Callithrix jacchus: one gene and its partner. The protein of the gene in region 1 interacts with the protein of each later gene in a pairwise test. Links are inferred from orthologs where the notes say so. Each region holds a gene or a part of one and is shown on either strand. Other genes may lie near its edges.

What was found.
Region 2: the proteins of TECR (region 1) and HACD2 interact in binary tests that used the Homo sapiens proteins (3 or more experiments, as listed by UniProt). The link is inferred for Callithrix jacchus from reciprocal best matches to the Homo sapiens genes TECR and HACD2.

Annotation. Positions count from the first base shown.
Region 1 is NC_133523.1:13,302,730-13,311,150, forward strand, and holds the start of TECR (very-long-chain enoyl-CoA reductase), read left to right. Parts: upstream 1-3,872; 5' UTR 3,873-3,977; coding exon 3,978-3,992; exon of another isoform or gene 3,993-4,681; intron 4,682-8,421. UniProt on the Homo sapiens protein: Involved in both the production of very long-chain fatty acids for sphingolipid synthesis and the degradation of the sphingosine moiety in sphingolipids through the sphingosine 1-phosphate metabolic pathway.
Region 2 is NC_133516.1:79,562,158-79,570,026, forward strand, and holds part of HACD2 (very-long-chain (3R)-3-hydroxyacyl-CoA dehydratase 2), read left to right. Parts: intron 1-4,332; coding exon 4,333-4,454; intron 4,455-6,308; coding exon 6,309-6,487; intron 6,488-7,869. UniProt on the Homo sapiens protein: Catalyzes the third of the very long-chain fatty acids (VLCFA) elongation four-step cycle (condensation, reduction, dehydration, and reduction).

The DNA.
Region 1 (8,421 bases):
GGGTGAAAGAAGCCAGGCTCAAAAGGCTGCATGATTCCATTTTACTCGACCTTCTGGAAAAGGCAAAAGTATCAGGACAAAAAACAGATGAGTAGTTGCCAGGGGCTGGGACCTGCAACAAATGGGTAATTTGGAGAATGTTGGCGGATGATGTAAATGTTCTACATCTTGATTGTAGTGGTGGCTGCCTGACTGTATGTTTTCAGAGCTGTACACTAAAATGGGTGAATTTCACTGCATGTCAATGATACTTCAATTACAAACAAACAAAAAAAAAAAAAAAAAAAAAAAAAAACAAGGAAAAAACCAAACATCCCAGGCAAGACAGGCTAGGGCTTGGGAAACCTCTCTCTGGGATTCCTGACACAGCAGAAAATTGCTAACCAGCCCTGGCTCGTCTCATCCCAGCTTCACCTTCCTTCACACACTAGTGAGCCAGCTCAATCACACATGCCTCACAAAAACAACCAAGCCAGGTTCTGACCTGCCCTGCCCATGGGAAATAGAAAAGGAGCTTGTGAGACAAGACATGACCAAACACATCAGATCTCTGACATTAAAGTGATCTTGGGTTCCCTCAAACCTGAGGTCCCAGGAAGCCCACATCATCCTTGGAAGCTGCCACAGCCGAGGACATCTCTTGCAGTTTCTCCCTTGGAAATTACTTTAATAAAGGTACAATCAGTTCAGCAGGAACCCAACAGATCTACCAGTCACCATTATGAATCAGCCACTGTGCTGGGGCTGTGAGGACACCAGCAAGATCTAGCTGTCTCTACTGACAGGCACCGTCAGGGGGCCACGGTACAGTGTCCTCAGTGGCTTGAACAAAGTGTCCAGTCTTTATTCTAAGGGTGGATTTCATTTCTGCTGAGAGCCTGGGTACTGGAAACCAGATTGGTAAACAAGGGGTTCCTCGAGCCTGCTACACCCTCAAAAACAAAGAGGAATTTTACTTTGGAGGATGGATCCTGCCTTTCTGCCAGCTTCTTCTTCTTCTTCTTTTTTTTTTTTTTTTCCAGAGATGGAATTTCACTCTTGTTGCCCAGGCTGGAGTGCAGTGATGCCATCTTGGCTCACCAAAACCTCTGCCTCCCAGGTTCAAGCAATTCTCCTGCCTCAGCCTCCTGAGTAGCTGGGATTGCAGGCATTCGCCACCATGCCTGGCTCATTTTTTGTATTTTATTTTTAGTAGAGACAGGGTTTCTCCATGTTGGTCAGGCTGGTCTTGAACTCCTGACCTCAGGTGATCTGCCTGCCTTGGCCTCCCAAAGTGCTGGGATTACAGGTGTGAGCCCCCGAGTTTTGCTTTTGAAGGCACACAAACAAAACACCTTCATGTTTTCACCTGTTTTCCCCAGATAGCACCAGTGAAAAAGATAAGGAGTTTCCTGAAGACCACGTAGCCTTGGCTTCCTGTATTCGGAGTCAGGGATCCCCAAAGGCTACAGGTTCAGAAGTTTCCAGAGCCGAATCTGGATGACTGAGTTCCAAGCACTGACTCACCCTTGCCTCCACCTGCTCCCTTGTGAATCAGCGATCTATCTTTAAGGACTTCTCATCATGTCTCTGATGACAGGTCTGTGAATTCCGGATGGTCCAACAGCTGATGAAGGCTCAGGAGTAGGACCTGGAAACAGGAGTAAAGAAAGGTGAAGAAGTGTGCCAGGTACTGCCTGCTCTTTTGCCTGTCTGAAATCTTTTTTTTTTTTTTTTTCTTCAAGACAGATTCTTGCTCTGTCACCCAGGCTGGAGTGCAGTGGCATGATCTTGGCTCACTGCAACCTCCACCTCCCAGGTTCAAGCAGTTCTCCTGCCTCAGCCTCCTGAGTAGCTGGGATTACAGGCACCCAACACCATGCCAGGTTAATGTTTGTATTTTAAGTGGAGATGGGTTTTCGTCATCTTTGCCAGGCTGGTCTCAAACTCCTGAAGCAGGTGGTCCACCTGCTTCAGCCTTGCAAAGTGCTGGGATAATAGGCGTGAGCCACCGCACCCAGCTTGTCTGAGGTCTTGAGTGTTTGCAGGCATGAATACCCATGTGTGTGTCCCCAGCTTGCTCATAACAATCAAGGGTGCCAAAGCATGCCATGATCTCAGATCAGTACTGTCCAATAAAAATAGTGTAAGAGGGTCCAGTGCAGTGGCTCACGTCTGTAATCCCAGCACTTTGGGAGGCTGAGGCGGGCACATTACCCGAGGTTGGAGGTTCAAGACCAGCCTAACCAACATGGAGAAACCCCATCTCTACTAAAAATACAAAATTAGCCAGGGGTGGTGGTGCATGCCTGTAATCCCAGCTACTTGGGAGGCTGAGGCAGGAGAATCGCTTGAACCCAGGGGGCGGAAGTTGCGGTGAGCTGAGATCACACCATAGCACTCCAGCCTGGGCTACAAACTCTGTCTCAAAAAATATAGTGTATGGGGGCGGGGCAAGGTGGCTCATCCCTGTAATCTGAACTCTTTGGGAGGTAAAAGCAGGAGGATCGCTTGAGTCCAGTAGTTTGAGGCCAGCTTAGGCAACATAGAAGTGTTAGGATCTCCTCAAGTGTGGTGTCCAGGGTCACAGTGAGCTATGATTGCGCCACTGGTTTCCAGCTTGGGTGACGGAACAAGCAAGACTGTCCAAAAAAAAACAGAAAAACGTTGCACAACTGTCAGCCACAAATGTGAGCTCTGTTTGTGATTTTAAATGTTCTAATGGGCACACTCAAAATATAAAAAGACGCCCCAGCACGATGGCTCACTTCTGTAATCCCAGTGCTTTGGGAGGCCATAGTGGTCAGTCACTTGAGGCCAGGAGTTGGAGACCGAACCCAGCCAGAAACTGATGTATTTTTCATTTACAGGGCGTCTCAGTTTGGACCAGCCCCATTTCAAGGACTCAGTGGCCCCATGGAACCACTAGACACCATTCTGGACAACGTCAAGCAGAGACAAATATAGGGCCGAGCAGGCTGGGTGCGGTGGCTCACGCCTATAATCCCAGCACTTTGGGAGGCTGAGGCATGAGCATCACCTGAGGTGAGGAGTTCAAGACCAGCCTGGCGAAACCCTGTCTTTGCTAAAAAAAATACAAAAATTAGCTAGGTGTGGTGGCAGGCACCTGTAATCCCAGCTACTTGGGAGGCTAAGGCATGAGAATTGGTTGAACCTGGGAGGGGGAGGTTGCGGTGAATCGTCATTCTCGAATTGAACTCCATTGAACTCCAGCCTGGGGGACAGAATGAGCCTCTGTTTCCAAACCAAACCAAACCAAACCAAAGTGGGGCGGGGGCTTTCATTAAGAGCGGCAGTGAAGCCATCCCCATAATGGGGCTGGGGCTCAAGGTTGCAGGTTGGGGGTTCCCAAATGGGGAGCTTTTTGCCATCGCACATTCCCTTTCCTTCCCTCCCACTCAAGAGTCTCCTCCCGGAGTGGCCTTGCCATCCAGGCTCCTCAGCCCGCGACCCCAGTCCCTTCCTGGTGTATCCCGGGGGCCGCCCACCTCGGAAGTTAATCCGTCTGCGTCGCCTGTCATGTGGACACTGCTTTGCCTGTCACTCAACTTTTTACCCCGCCCCCCGCCTGGCCGTAACCGTCGCTTACCTTGGTTTCCACAGCGACGCCATCAGGGGTCGGGGCAAAGGGACGCGCGGCGCAGAAGCCTCCTTTGGATTGGTGGATGGCCAAGCCTCTTCTCTTTAGCCCCTCCTGCGCTCGCTCCGCCCCCTTCGGTGGGTCTCGCAAGCTGATTGGTCAATCCCCTGGTGCTAGCCCTGGTCCTGGTTCGGACCTGCCCCAAGGGGCAGGGGCGAAGGTGGTCGCCTCGTGTCCTGATTGGCCGGAGGGGCGCGCGCGGCCGGGAGGGGCGGGGCGGACGCAGAGCCGCGTTTAGTCTCTCGCAGCGGCAGCGAGTGTTCTAGGGACCCTGTGTTGTGTCGCGCTCAGTTAGGCAGCAGCAGCTGCGGAGCTGTAGCCGCCGTGGGAGTGAGCCATGAAGCACTACGAGGTAAGACGCGAGAAACGGGGACCGCGTGGCCACTGCCGACACATTCTTTTTCCTTCTTTGCGGACCATGGGACTCCACTTTCTGGTCCTGAGCCCCAAAGGAAAAGCCGGACGGCGCAGGCGCAGTGGGCCAGCGTTGCTCCCTGGGCCACTCGTAAATTCCAATGCGCATGTGCGGAGGAGGTATTTATAAATCTGCAACCCAGGCTGTTTTGGGGGTGCTTTTTCTTGGGGGTCTCTGCAGGGGCTGGGACGTTTGCAGGTTCCTTGCAGCTCCCTGAGCGGGCTGAGTTGCAGACTTTGTCATGGGAGCTACGAAGGTCCGGGACCCTTGCTCCCAAACCGAGGGAGAGGAGTCTTGCACAAATCTTGCACCACGCCGCCGCCACCAGCGTAGGAAGGGCTTTGCAATCAGTCTTCTTGTGTCCGACCTTTGGACCCCTTCCCTCGCCCGGGAGGTTCCCTAGAGGCTTAGGCGGTGAGGGAGGTGCAGCTCCACGGCTGGATTTCGCAGAGCAGCGAAGCTGATCTTGTTTTCTGGTTATCTAAGAGGTCATCTCCGTCAACCCCCGGGTGTCACCAAGGAGAAATCTTATACCACTACCAGCCACTCTTAAAGCCCAAGTCTTCTGACTCCTAACTTGGATCTCTTTTTCCCTTAAAACGAAGTCTTCTGATGTGCGTATCGCCCTAAGTGATAATGTGATATTGATAATTCAACTACTTATCCCTGAATTATTTCTGCTTTTAAGTAATTATCAAATAATAAAATTTATTATTAAAATTTAAAATAACAGTTGAGCAAGTGCTCACTCTTGTGCTAGTGAGATTCTATTACCTTGTAAAGAACTATTATTACTCCCATTTGTAAGGATGAATAAAATCTCAAAGATATCAAGTGACTTGTTCAAAGGCCCCAGCTGGTAAATGCAGAGCAGACAGAGGAACTCAGAACGACAAAGCCACTTTGCCATTTGGCCCTCAAATGAAAATTAGCAAGCAGGTCGAGCGATTTCTTGTTTCTCCCTTCCCCTCCAATTTAAAAAATTCTGGCAAAATACACGTAACATTTACCGTCTTAACTATTTCTAAGTGTATAGTTCAGTGGCATTAAGAACGTTCAGTTGTGCAACCATCACTACCATCGATCTCTAGAACTCTTTGCATCTTGCAAAGCAGCTGTAGCCATTAAATACTAAGTCCCCATTCCTTTCCACCTCCACCTGTGGCAACCACCATTCTACTTTCTGTCTCAATGAATTGACTACTCTAGGTACCTTACATACGTAGAAGAAAAGAATTTGTTTTCTTTTCAAGACAGTTTTGCTCTTATTGCTGAGGCTGGTGTGCAATAGCGCTATCTCGGCCAACTGCAACCTCTGCCTCCAGGGTTCAAGCGATTCTCCTCCCTCAGCCTCCCACGTAGCTGGGATTACAGGTACCTGCTACCATATCTGGCTAATTTAAAAAAATTTTTTAAAAAATATTTTTAGTTGACACGGGGTTTCACTGTGTTGGCCAGGCTGGTCTCAAACTCCTGACCTCAGGTGATCCACCCACCTTGGCCTCCCTCCCAAAGTGCTGGGAGTACAGGAGTGAGCCAGTGCGCCTTGCCGTTTGTTTTTATTCACAAGTTGAATATTCCTACCTCTGCCTGCTCCGTTTATTATTATTTTTGGAAATTTACCCACAATCCTTTGAAGCCTTTTTTTTCTTTTTGAGATGGAATTTTGCTCTTATTGCCCAGGCTGGAGTGCAATGGCATGATCTCGGCTCACTGCAACCTCTGCCTTCCAGGTTCAAGTAATTCTCCTGCCTCAGCCTCCCAAGTAGCTGAGATTACAGGCATGTGTCACCACACCTGGTTAATTTTGTATTTTTAGTAGAGACTGGGTTTCTTCACGTTGGTCACACTGGTCTCAAACTCCCAACCTCTCATGTGATCCGCCCATCTTGGCCTCCCTAAGTGTCGGGATTACAGGTGTGAGCCACAGCGCCTGGCCCCTTTGAAGCTTTTAATCCGTAAATCCTGTCATTTTTGACACGGTATCAAGAATGAGCAGGTTTGTATTCAATAATCTCTAATGTGTCATTTAAGTTTTCATTCTAGAATAAAGTTCTGGGCCAGGCGCAATGGCTCACACCTGTAATCCCAGCATTTTGAGAGGCCGAGGTGGGCAGATCATGAGGTCAGGAGTTGGAGACCAGCCTGGCCAACATAGTGAAACCCCATCTCTTTAAAAAAAAAAAAAAAAAAATATATATATATATATATATATATATATAGTCCTGATGTGGTTTCCCCTCTCAAACTCTGTCTAAATCTATAGTCCCACTACTGTATTCTCAGCTACTTGGAAGGTTGAGGCGGGAGGATGGCTTTAGACCAGGAGGTTGAGGCTGCAGTGAGCCCAAAAATCAGGCCACTGCACTCCAGCCTGGACAACAGACCCTGTTTCAAAAAAAAAAAAAGCCACCACGTCTGTCTTGAAAGATGAAACATCCATGTGGCATTTTGCAAAATATAGTCGGTTTAGTTTTACTAGTTAGCAGTCAGATAAAGTAGGCCTCTGATTGCCCTGGGGGTGCGCGCTTTTGTTCCAGGAAGCTGGGCACAGCCTGAGACCCAAGACTTGAACTGAAGAATATGCTGAACCATGCTTAATCTTTTTCTCCCCCAGAAAGAAGGGAAAGCTTTGGCCGGGCATGGTGGCTCATGCCTGTAATCCCAGCACTCTGGGAGGCTGAAGTGGCTGGATCATTTGAGGCCAGGAGTTCAAGACCACCCTGGCCAACATGGAGAAACCCCATCTCTACTAAAAATACAAAAATTAGCTGGGTGTTGTGACACACGCCTGTAATCTCAGCTACTTGGAGGCGGACAGAGGTTGCAGTGAGCTGAGATTGCACCATTGCATTCCAGCCTGGATGACAGAGTAAGTCTGTCTCAAACAAAAAGAAGGGGGAAGCCTCAGACTCACTGTTTACAGTGACCTTGGAGGTAAAAAAATAAATTGCTATTTTGCTGTGTTCTTTGTTGTTCTCTACCAGCCTTTGCCAAGTACCCATGGAGGTGATAGCTACAGGGATTCTGGATGGGAAAAGCCGTTGTCTTCCAGCCCAAGCAGATTAGTTTATCTGCAAGAGTTTATTGTAGGTCAATAAAAATAGAAGAGATGCTTTCACTCATATTTAACAAGCAATTTGAGAAAAGATTTATCTACATCAAAGAATATATTTCTGGCTGGGCGAGGTTGCCTATGCCTGTAATCCCAGCACTTTGGGAGGCTGTGGTGGGTGAATCACTTGAGGTCAGGAGTTCAAGACCAGCCTGGTCAACATAGTGAAAGTTTATCTCTACTAAAAATAAAAAAATTTAGCTGGCCATGGTGGCATGCACTGTAGTCCCAGTTACTGGAGAGGCTGAGGCATGAGAATCACTTGAACGTGGGAGGCAGAGTTGCAGTGAGCCGAAATCATACCACTGTACTCCAGCCTGGGTGACAGAGTCAGACTCTGTCTTAAAAAAAAAAAAAAAGGGCTGGGCGCGGTGGCTCAAGCCTGTAATCCCAGCACTTTGGGAGGCCGAGGCAGGTGGATCATGAGGTCAAGAGATCGAGACCATCCTAGTCGACATGGTGAAACCCCATCTCTACTAAAAATACAAAAAATCAGCTGGGCACGGTGGTGTGTGCCTGTAATCCCAGCTACTCAGGAGGCTGAGGCAGGAGAATTGCCTGAACCCAGGAGGTGGAGGTTGTGGTGAGCTGAGATCGTGCCATTGCACTCCAGCCTGGGTAACAAGAGTGAAACTCTGTCTCAAAAAAAAAAAAAAAAAGGAAAAGGATATATTTCAGCCCATTGCAGTGGCTCATGCTTGTAATCCCAGCACTTTGGGAGGCCAAGGCGGGCAGATCACGTGAGGTCAGGAGTTCAAGACCAGCTTGGCCAACATGATGAAACTCCGTCTCTGCTAAAAATACAAAAATGAGCCAGGCGTGGTGGTGGGTGCCTGTAATCCCAGCTACTTGAGAGGCTGAGGCAGGAGAATCGCTTCAACGAGGAAGTCAGCGGTTGCGGTGAGTGGAGATTGTGCCATTGCACTCTAGCCTGGGTGACAGAGCAAGACTCCGTCTCAACAAAACAAAACAAAACAAAAAGAATGTATATTTCTGCTTGATACTAAATCCATCCTCCCACCCTCAAGCAATCTCTTGTTCACTGAGAGATTAGCCCCCTTCAAAAGACTTTCTTGGCCCCTGAAGAGACCTTGGAGAGTAGGAAGTGAAATTTACAAGTGATAGAGGTAATGTCCAGACAGGTGCAGGATGGCTCACTGTCGCACAGCAAATTTATGTCTGATGTCGTGGCAATTGGGATCCCAGCAGTGGGGGTTGATTGGTGGCTATTTCCATAGTAGCTTCATATCA
Region 2 (7,869 bases), on another chromosome or scaffold:
GCACACACTTGTAGTCCAGCTACTCTTGAGGCTGAGGCAGGTGGATCAGTCCCAAGGAGGTTGTCTTGGGAGGTTGAAGCTGCAGTGAGCTGCTATTGTGCTGCTGCTTTACAGCCTGGGTAACAGAGCAAGATCCAGTCTCAAAAAAAAAGAAGGAAAAGAAAAATATAAGTTATCATCCAATTTAAGGGGCATTGATTCTACATATCCCTGTGTCTAGACCTGTTTCAGGACTGAGGAAGCCACATAATGAGACCTTGGCCCTTGAAGTCCTTGCCGTCAAGCAGGGAGTAATAGCCAGAGAACGATTCACATTTCACATGCTCGGAGTCAGTAATGTTGACAGGAGAGCTTGTCAGTTATTTCTCCTCTCTGGCCTTTTGGATGAAGGAAAATTTATTTTAAGAAGCATTGTCAAAGCCTCTACCCATTTTTTTTGCCAGCTAGAAAAATTTCAGCTCATGCAAGGAAGTTAGTATTAGCCAGTATTTCATGCCTTGCCCACAGAGGGGTCATGGGCACACACCTTTCCAAAGAACAGTGGCAGCCCTGGCCGCCCCAGGCCAGCTCAGCCTCCTGTCCTTGGTAGGACCTTCTGGGCAGTCTCGGTTTGGATATGTCCAGGGCCTGCGAGCACAAAACTTTGTGAGGTGGCCAATTTGAGTAGTTACCTGGTTTGTTATACAATTTTTCTTATGTTGAACCCAGCATTTTACTCCCTGCCAGTTTTATCCATCTTGTTCATGGTATCCTTTTACATATTTTAAAGTACATACCCTCTTTCCTTTTCCAAAGTCAGCTCTGCTAGTTTAGGAGGTTTTTGTTGGTCTGTTTTTGTTGTTGTTGTTTGAGACAGAGTCTCACTCTGTCACCAGGCTGGAGTGCAGTGATATGATCTCGGCTCACTGCAACCTCCACCTCCCGGGTTCAAGGGATTCTCCTGCCTCAGCCTCCTGAGTAGCTGGGATTCCATGCATGAGCCACCTCGCCCAGCTAATGAGGAGTTCTTCTAGCAGACTCTGTTCCCTAAGTGGGTCTCATCTATTTACAGTGCAGTAATTGGGATAAGACTGTTAATGTGGCTGAATCCTGGAGTTTTGTTTGTTTGAACAGCCACCTCACACCCGGTTGGCTCCTGTGAGGCTTATGGTTCACCAAAAACTCCAGATCTCTTGATTTCATAAGGTAGGTCTTCTCCATTCTGATGTGGAGTCATTTTGTTGTTGCTAAGTCATGTAATTACATTTAGACTTTCTAAATTTATGTTACTGCTGTTGTTTTGGGGGGGCTTTAATTTATTTTTTATTACAGTAAAATACATATAACATTCACCATTTTGCCACTTTTATATAGTTCAGTTGCATAAACGCTTTCTTATTGTTGTGCAACCATCATCACTGTCCATCTCCGGAACTTTTTTAATCCTCCCAAACTGGAACTCCACACCAATGAAACAGTAATTCTCTATTTCCCATCTTCCCAGCTGCTGGCCACCTTCTATCTCTACTTTTTGTCTCTGCCTCACCCTAGGTACCACATATGAGTAGAATCACACAGTATTCATCTTTTTGTGACTGGCCTATTTTACTTAGCGTGATATCCTCAAGGTTCATCCATGTTGTAGCATGTGTAAGAATTTTCTTCTTTTTAAGGCTGAATCATACTCCACTGTATGTATATGATAATACTCTACTGTATGTATATGATAATACTCTACTGTATGTATATGATAATACTCTACTGTATGTATATGATAGTACTCCACTGTATGTATATAATACTCCACTGTATGTATATGATAATACTCCACTGTATGTATAGACCACATCTTGCTTATCCGTCTATCAGTACACACCTGGGTTTCTTTGCCTTTTGACTATTGTGAATAATGCTGCTATAAACATGAGTGTACGAATACCTGTTGGAGTCTCATTGATCTTACTGGCTTTAACTCATGTATTACATTTGCCCCTGTTTTCTGTTATTGGTTGTATAATTATCTGTAAATTAGATAAGGTCAATCTCTTTATCCATATCCCTTCTTGATAACAATGTTGCATTTCCTACTGATTGGAAAATATCATTTTGCACAAAATGGTCATTTCCTGCATCCCTAGTCTTTTTTAAAAGACTTACGCCATCATCTTTACAGCTGGACTCTGGGAACAGACTGCTTTCATATTTAGCCTGAGTCTGAGTTTTTCATAGTTCCTTCGGCTAAGATCTAACTTGGGGGTGGATGGGAGGTGAATAATAACCAACCTGTAGGCTGGGTCAAAGCAGGAGGTTTTGGGAGTTTGTTTGTTTCTTTGTTACCTATTTGGAGGCCACTGAGACTACACAGAAACTATCAGGCACCAAAAAGAAGGGAACTAAGTCTCAGAGTAACCTGATTAGGACGGAATTCATTTGCTCCGCAATTATTTATTGAGCTTTTACTTGTGAAAAGCACAAAGTGCTTTTGGAAAACAGAAGATGAATAAAACACATTCCCTGATTTCAAGATGTTTACAGTTCAAAATATTAAAGGAATTTCCTTTTGTAACCTAGAGCTCTTGAGGCAAGGCTTCTTCTACTCATAGCTGTACAAACATAACTCCTTAAGATAAGGAGGATTATAAAACACATCAAAAAGCAAAGTGTGCTTTTATATTAATATTACATTTCGGTGTAGATGGATTCAAGTAAGGATTGGGGGACAGAGTGAAAAATCTCACCATGAAAGCTTTGGAGGTGTTTCGCTTTTGCTTTACTTTGGCTAATATGAGAGCGCCAGGAAAACAGAAAGTACTCTTGCTCTTGACAGTATAAAATTCTTATTATTTTTAGAGAATAGTAACTGTGCATTTATGAAATTCTTTGTCAGAGCAATTTAGTTAATAGATATGTAAATGACTACTTATTTCATTGTGTAGGTGGATCGCTCCATGTACACTTTCTGAGGAAGAATATAAGTGCTAAAAACTATTAACATTGCAAATGGAAAGAAGCAAAAGTTACGGCGAGAATGCCATTCCCTTGCTGTATTAGGTATTAAGAGTGGGACAGAAAGTCCACCTTATCATCAAGATTTGTTTGGTTTATGGGGTGGGATTTCTTATTTACATCCGACTCTTGGACTCTTTTTTTAGATGCCTGGAAACTAATGTGAATTGAGGTGCAAGGGTATTTCTTGCTGATTTTCAAGCACAAAAGGTCATTACAAACCCAGCTGGGAAGGGATGGGGAAGGTGCTTAAAGTTAAAACCACAGCAGTACATTTTCAATGCAAGAGAATGCCTCCTAAAAAATCACCTAGGGCTCTTTTAAACATTTATTGTTTTTTCAGCATAAAAACAACTTCAGAGGAGGCTGGGGATTTCAAAGCTCTTTGGCTCTAACTGCCTCCTGGGAACAGCATGGAAGCTTCCCTAATCATGGAGGAGTTAATGCCGGCCTCCTTTGGGGGAAGAAGTCTCTAATGGGAGGAAATAAATGGGCTCTTACCTTGCAGGTGGTCCCCAGCCCTCCCCTCAGTGGAATTCCTCTTGCTCTGTGAGCTAGCCTCATCTTCATTTGTGCTTTTTGTTGTGGGTTTTGTTTTTTTTGAGACAGTCTCCCTCTCTCACCCAGGCTGGAGTGCAGTGGCACGAGCTCAGCTCCCTGCAACCTCCGCCTACCAGGTTCAAGCAATTCTCCTGCCTCAGCCTCTTGAATAACTGGGAATACAGGCATGCACCATCACGCCCAATAATTTTTTTTGTATTTTTAGTAGAAACAGGGTTTTACCATGTTGGCCAGGCTGGTCTCGAACTCCTGACTTCAGGTGATCTACCCACCTCAGCCTCCCAAAGTGCTGGGATTACAGGCACCTGGCCCACTTGTGCTTTAATCATTACATTCCCCTTCTCTAAAATTGCCTTGGGTTCACAGCTGTCATGCAAATCAAGTAAAATTCTTGGTAATGGATCCAAGTCTCTCCGCCACTTTGCCCTCCCACCCTCCTTACCTAACTGCTCTTGGCCCCACTGACATCAGTCCATGTTCTCCATATGAGGCTGGCAAACCTGCAAAACCCCCACCTCTTGTGTTTGTTCCTCCCGCCCTGCTGCTCTTGCTCCTGGTGACTGGTGACTCTTTGCACTTGGCCCTCATCTCTGGGCTGTACACAGCTGTCACCGTAGGCCCCAGCTCCTCTACACACATGCTCTATCTGCTGTACAGTAGCCCTGAAGATAGACACTAGCGGCTGTGCCGACTCACTCCCCAGCTCTGTGGGGCACTGCACACTGTGAGTTCGTCTTCATTAACGTCTGTGTGTTTGCTTTTTCTTTTGTTTTCCTCTTCCTTCAGGTACAGACTGAAGACAGTGTCCTCCTGTTTGTTATTGCCTGGACAATCACAGAAATCATCCGTTACTCCTTTTATACATTCAGTCTATTAAACCATCTGCCTTACCTCATCAAATGGGCCAGGTAAAAAAAACATAAGGAATGAGGGCTTACTTTTGAAATGATCTGTCAATGCATTTGCCCTTTATTGCGTAAATATTGCCTCCAAGTTTCTAAAAATAAAATTGACACAGAGGTTGGGTAGAAATCTTGTCTGTAGATTTCATCTGAGAGAGTCTGTACTTAACTTTGACTAACAGAAATACTGCTTTAAGATTTTTATATTTTGCTTACATTATTTTAATTGGGATCAGTTCTCTTCAATTATGCAGTATTTTCCTTTTTAAAAAAATTTCATCACCAAGTAACAATAAATAGAGATTTGCTGTAACATCCCTTTTTTGTCCATATCATCACATTTTACTGATGAGCTTCTGCCATTGTGATGGGTTTTTTTTGACCAAGTCCTGTTCTCCTAGTCTCAATTTTGCCACGAAGCTGTGACTCTTAAATTAATTTTTAAGTAATAAACATTACATGGCAGCTTTAGCTTCTCACTTTGATTTTGCTTTATTTTTACCAGTAATGATGAATTGGGTATAAGGCTAGTAGTTCATCTGGCTTACGTTAATAGTCCATGAGACAGTTGCAGGCAGTTTTCTGAGCTGGGAAACTCTTTGAGAGAGCGTGACAAAGCAAAAGGATCCAAGTTGTCCCCAGAGCTGAAATGCCTTATTTGGTGGAAGAAAAGCAATGGTTCCTAGACTGTTTATGAGTTCAGTGATTAAATTAGGGACATAATCTGATTGTTTCCAACATTTCGAGTATGGGAACTCCTTTATTATTTTTCTCATTTGCAGTGAACATTTTTATTAGGAAAGGGGAAGAATGGGAAACAGCAGTTACTAACCAACCTGGACAGCCACTGTGAAAGCTGTTTACCCCGGTTGTTAGGGAAGTCTGTTGACCAAGGCTTGATTTTACTGTTGGAGAAAGATTCTTTCGTCTACTGTTCTCCACGGCCTCTGAAAGATTTTTTTCCAACATCCTACTTAGTGTGGCTAAAATTGGCAGTGGGGAATATGTCTTCCCTTCCTCTTCAGAGATTTTCAATGCAATTCCTGTGCCCAGAAGTTTGTAGTCCATTGCACATTGTGAGTCACAAATAGCCAAAGGCTTTTTAAAGTCTAAGCTGATGATTCCTTTAGCAATCCTTACAGCGGCTTACAGTTCCATGGGTCAGTGACTGCTCTCTGAATTCTTTGTGGAATATGGAGAACTCCTTTTTAAAGAGAAAAAAATTAATGCAGAATTCCTCCCACGTGATGATAATTGTAATTGTGAGGTGTTTTGATTGGAAAATTACATAGTAACCAAAAGCTATTATGAATTTAAAATTTTTTAAATTGCATATATTTGATTTTTTTACAGTATCATATACAGACATTTGAAAAATAGTATACAGATGTTTGTGCTGTTTTTTTTTTTTTTTTTTTTCTTTTTTTTGGTTTAGTCTTTTTGTGTGTTGTGGGAATTCCTAGACCACATGTTCCAGCACCTCTGCCCCAACCCCATCCCAAGGCCCACAGGGTAGGACCCTTCAGTATAAACTATGACTCAGTTCCCCTCCTTCACCAGCACTTGGCATCACTTTCGTTATTTTAGAGCGTTCTTTTGAAGAGTTGCTTATTTAGTCAGACCAAATTTTGAGGCTGCCTGAACACATTTATTTTGTCGTAGAACATTTGGAAACATATACCTGCTGTAGGCTCATTTCAAAAACTGGCTTGTAAAACCTGAATTTGAATAGCAGGTAAACAGGAAAATACATAAGCAAACATTTTCTCAAAGACTAGTACTGATCAGAAGAGTGGGAAGTGCAGCTTCCTCCTAGAGCTGGCTTTGAGCCTCAGTAATGAATATTGTGTTTTGTTTTAGGTACACACTTTTCATTGTGCTGTACCCAATGGGAGTGTCAGGAGAACTGCTCACAATATACGCAGCTCTGCCCTTTGTCAGACAGGCTGGCCTGTATTCCATCAGTTTACCGAACAAATACAATTTCTCTTTTGACTACTATGCATTCCTGATTCTAATAATGATCTCCTACATTCCAAGTAAGTGAACAGTTATGCATATATTTAATTATGTTTTAAAGTTTGGCTCTACAATAACTAGAGTTAATATCTTTGATTGTTTTTGCACCATATCCAAATAAATGTAAATCTAATTTATTAGGAATGCTTGGTTTTTGTTGAATGCTATCAAAGGGAATTTTTTCCATTAGTAATTGAATAAAGACTAACCCTTCTCAATACAGTTGCCAAAATGCAGCCCTTCTCAGCATGTGGGTTTGAAGCTGTGAATGCCAGGCTCCGTTAAGCATATATTGGAGAAAGTACTGAATGGAAAACAACAAAGTCATTAAAGGCCTGACTGTGGATTGTAGTTTTCTGTCTGTTCAGAACTGCTTGTTACGGTATTTGAAAAACATGGTGAAAAGACTTTTGTGTTGGTTCCTATATCAAAATAGACATTTAGCTTCATTTTGAAGGGATTGGTAGTTAACTAGAAACGTAACAAAATAATTATAGATTTATTTTTTCCAAATTTTTCATTTTCTTGTTGGGCACTGATTGGGACACAGTGTTCTCTTCAAGATGGTTTCCAATTATTTTAATAGTACCGCTGAAGACTTAAGTATATGGATAATCAAGTGTGCCTCTCTGTGTATTCGGTGGCAGAGAAAAAGACATGTTTGTTGTCTCTGTGAAGTGAGCCCTACTTTCTGAGGATGAGGAGTTTCGTCCTTTTGTGGAACCCTGATGTTCAATTATAAATCCTGATTGACATCTACATGCCAAAAGATCTTGTTATAACCAAGGACATATAATGTTAGTGTTTCTTCTCATTTAGCTATTTCTGTAACCATTGTAACTCTGAATATTATTTTAATTTAGAAGAGATGCTATGTTCTTCCCTAAACCCAAGTTAAATTCAGACAAAGTTGGATTTTTCTTCATTCCATGGCATTATTGGAATGAATCATCCTAGCAAAGCGACATGTTTGTGTCGCTCTGTGGAAAATTGCATTTCATGCATTGTGAGAAAAAAACAACAACCAGATTTCATGTGAGCATTTATCTTGGAGAAATTCTTGGATACAGTTCTGCTTCATGATTCATTTTCCACTCTTTATTAACGATCAAGTCCTGCTCTCTAGTGCCCGAATCATAGTGGCCAGAGGCCATCTCTCTTCAAATGTAAAAAGTAGTTGGTTTTCAAACAAGATAAACGTGAAATCATCTAAACATTTAAGTAGTAAAAATTAACTAACAGTGTTCCACCTTTCTAATTTTGTTTTTTTAGTTTCATTTTGGAGTCTCTAGAGCAGCAGTTCACAGTTGCAGTTTTACCACACCCAGAGTAACTAACACTTATTATCCCAGTTGGCACCACAGGCTTTATTTGAGTGAATAGGAGATACATACCATACTGG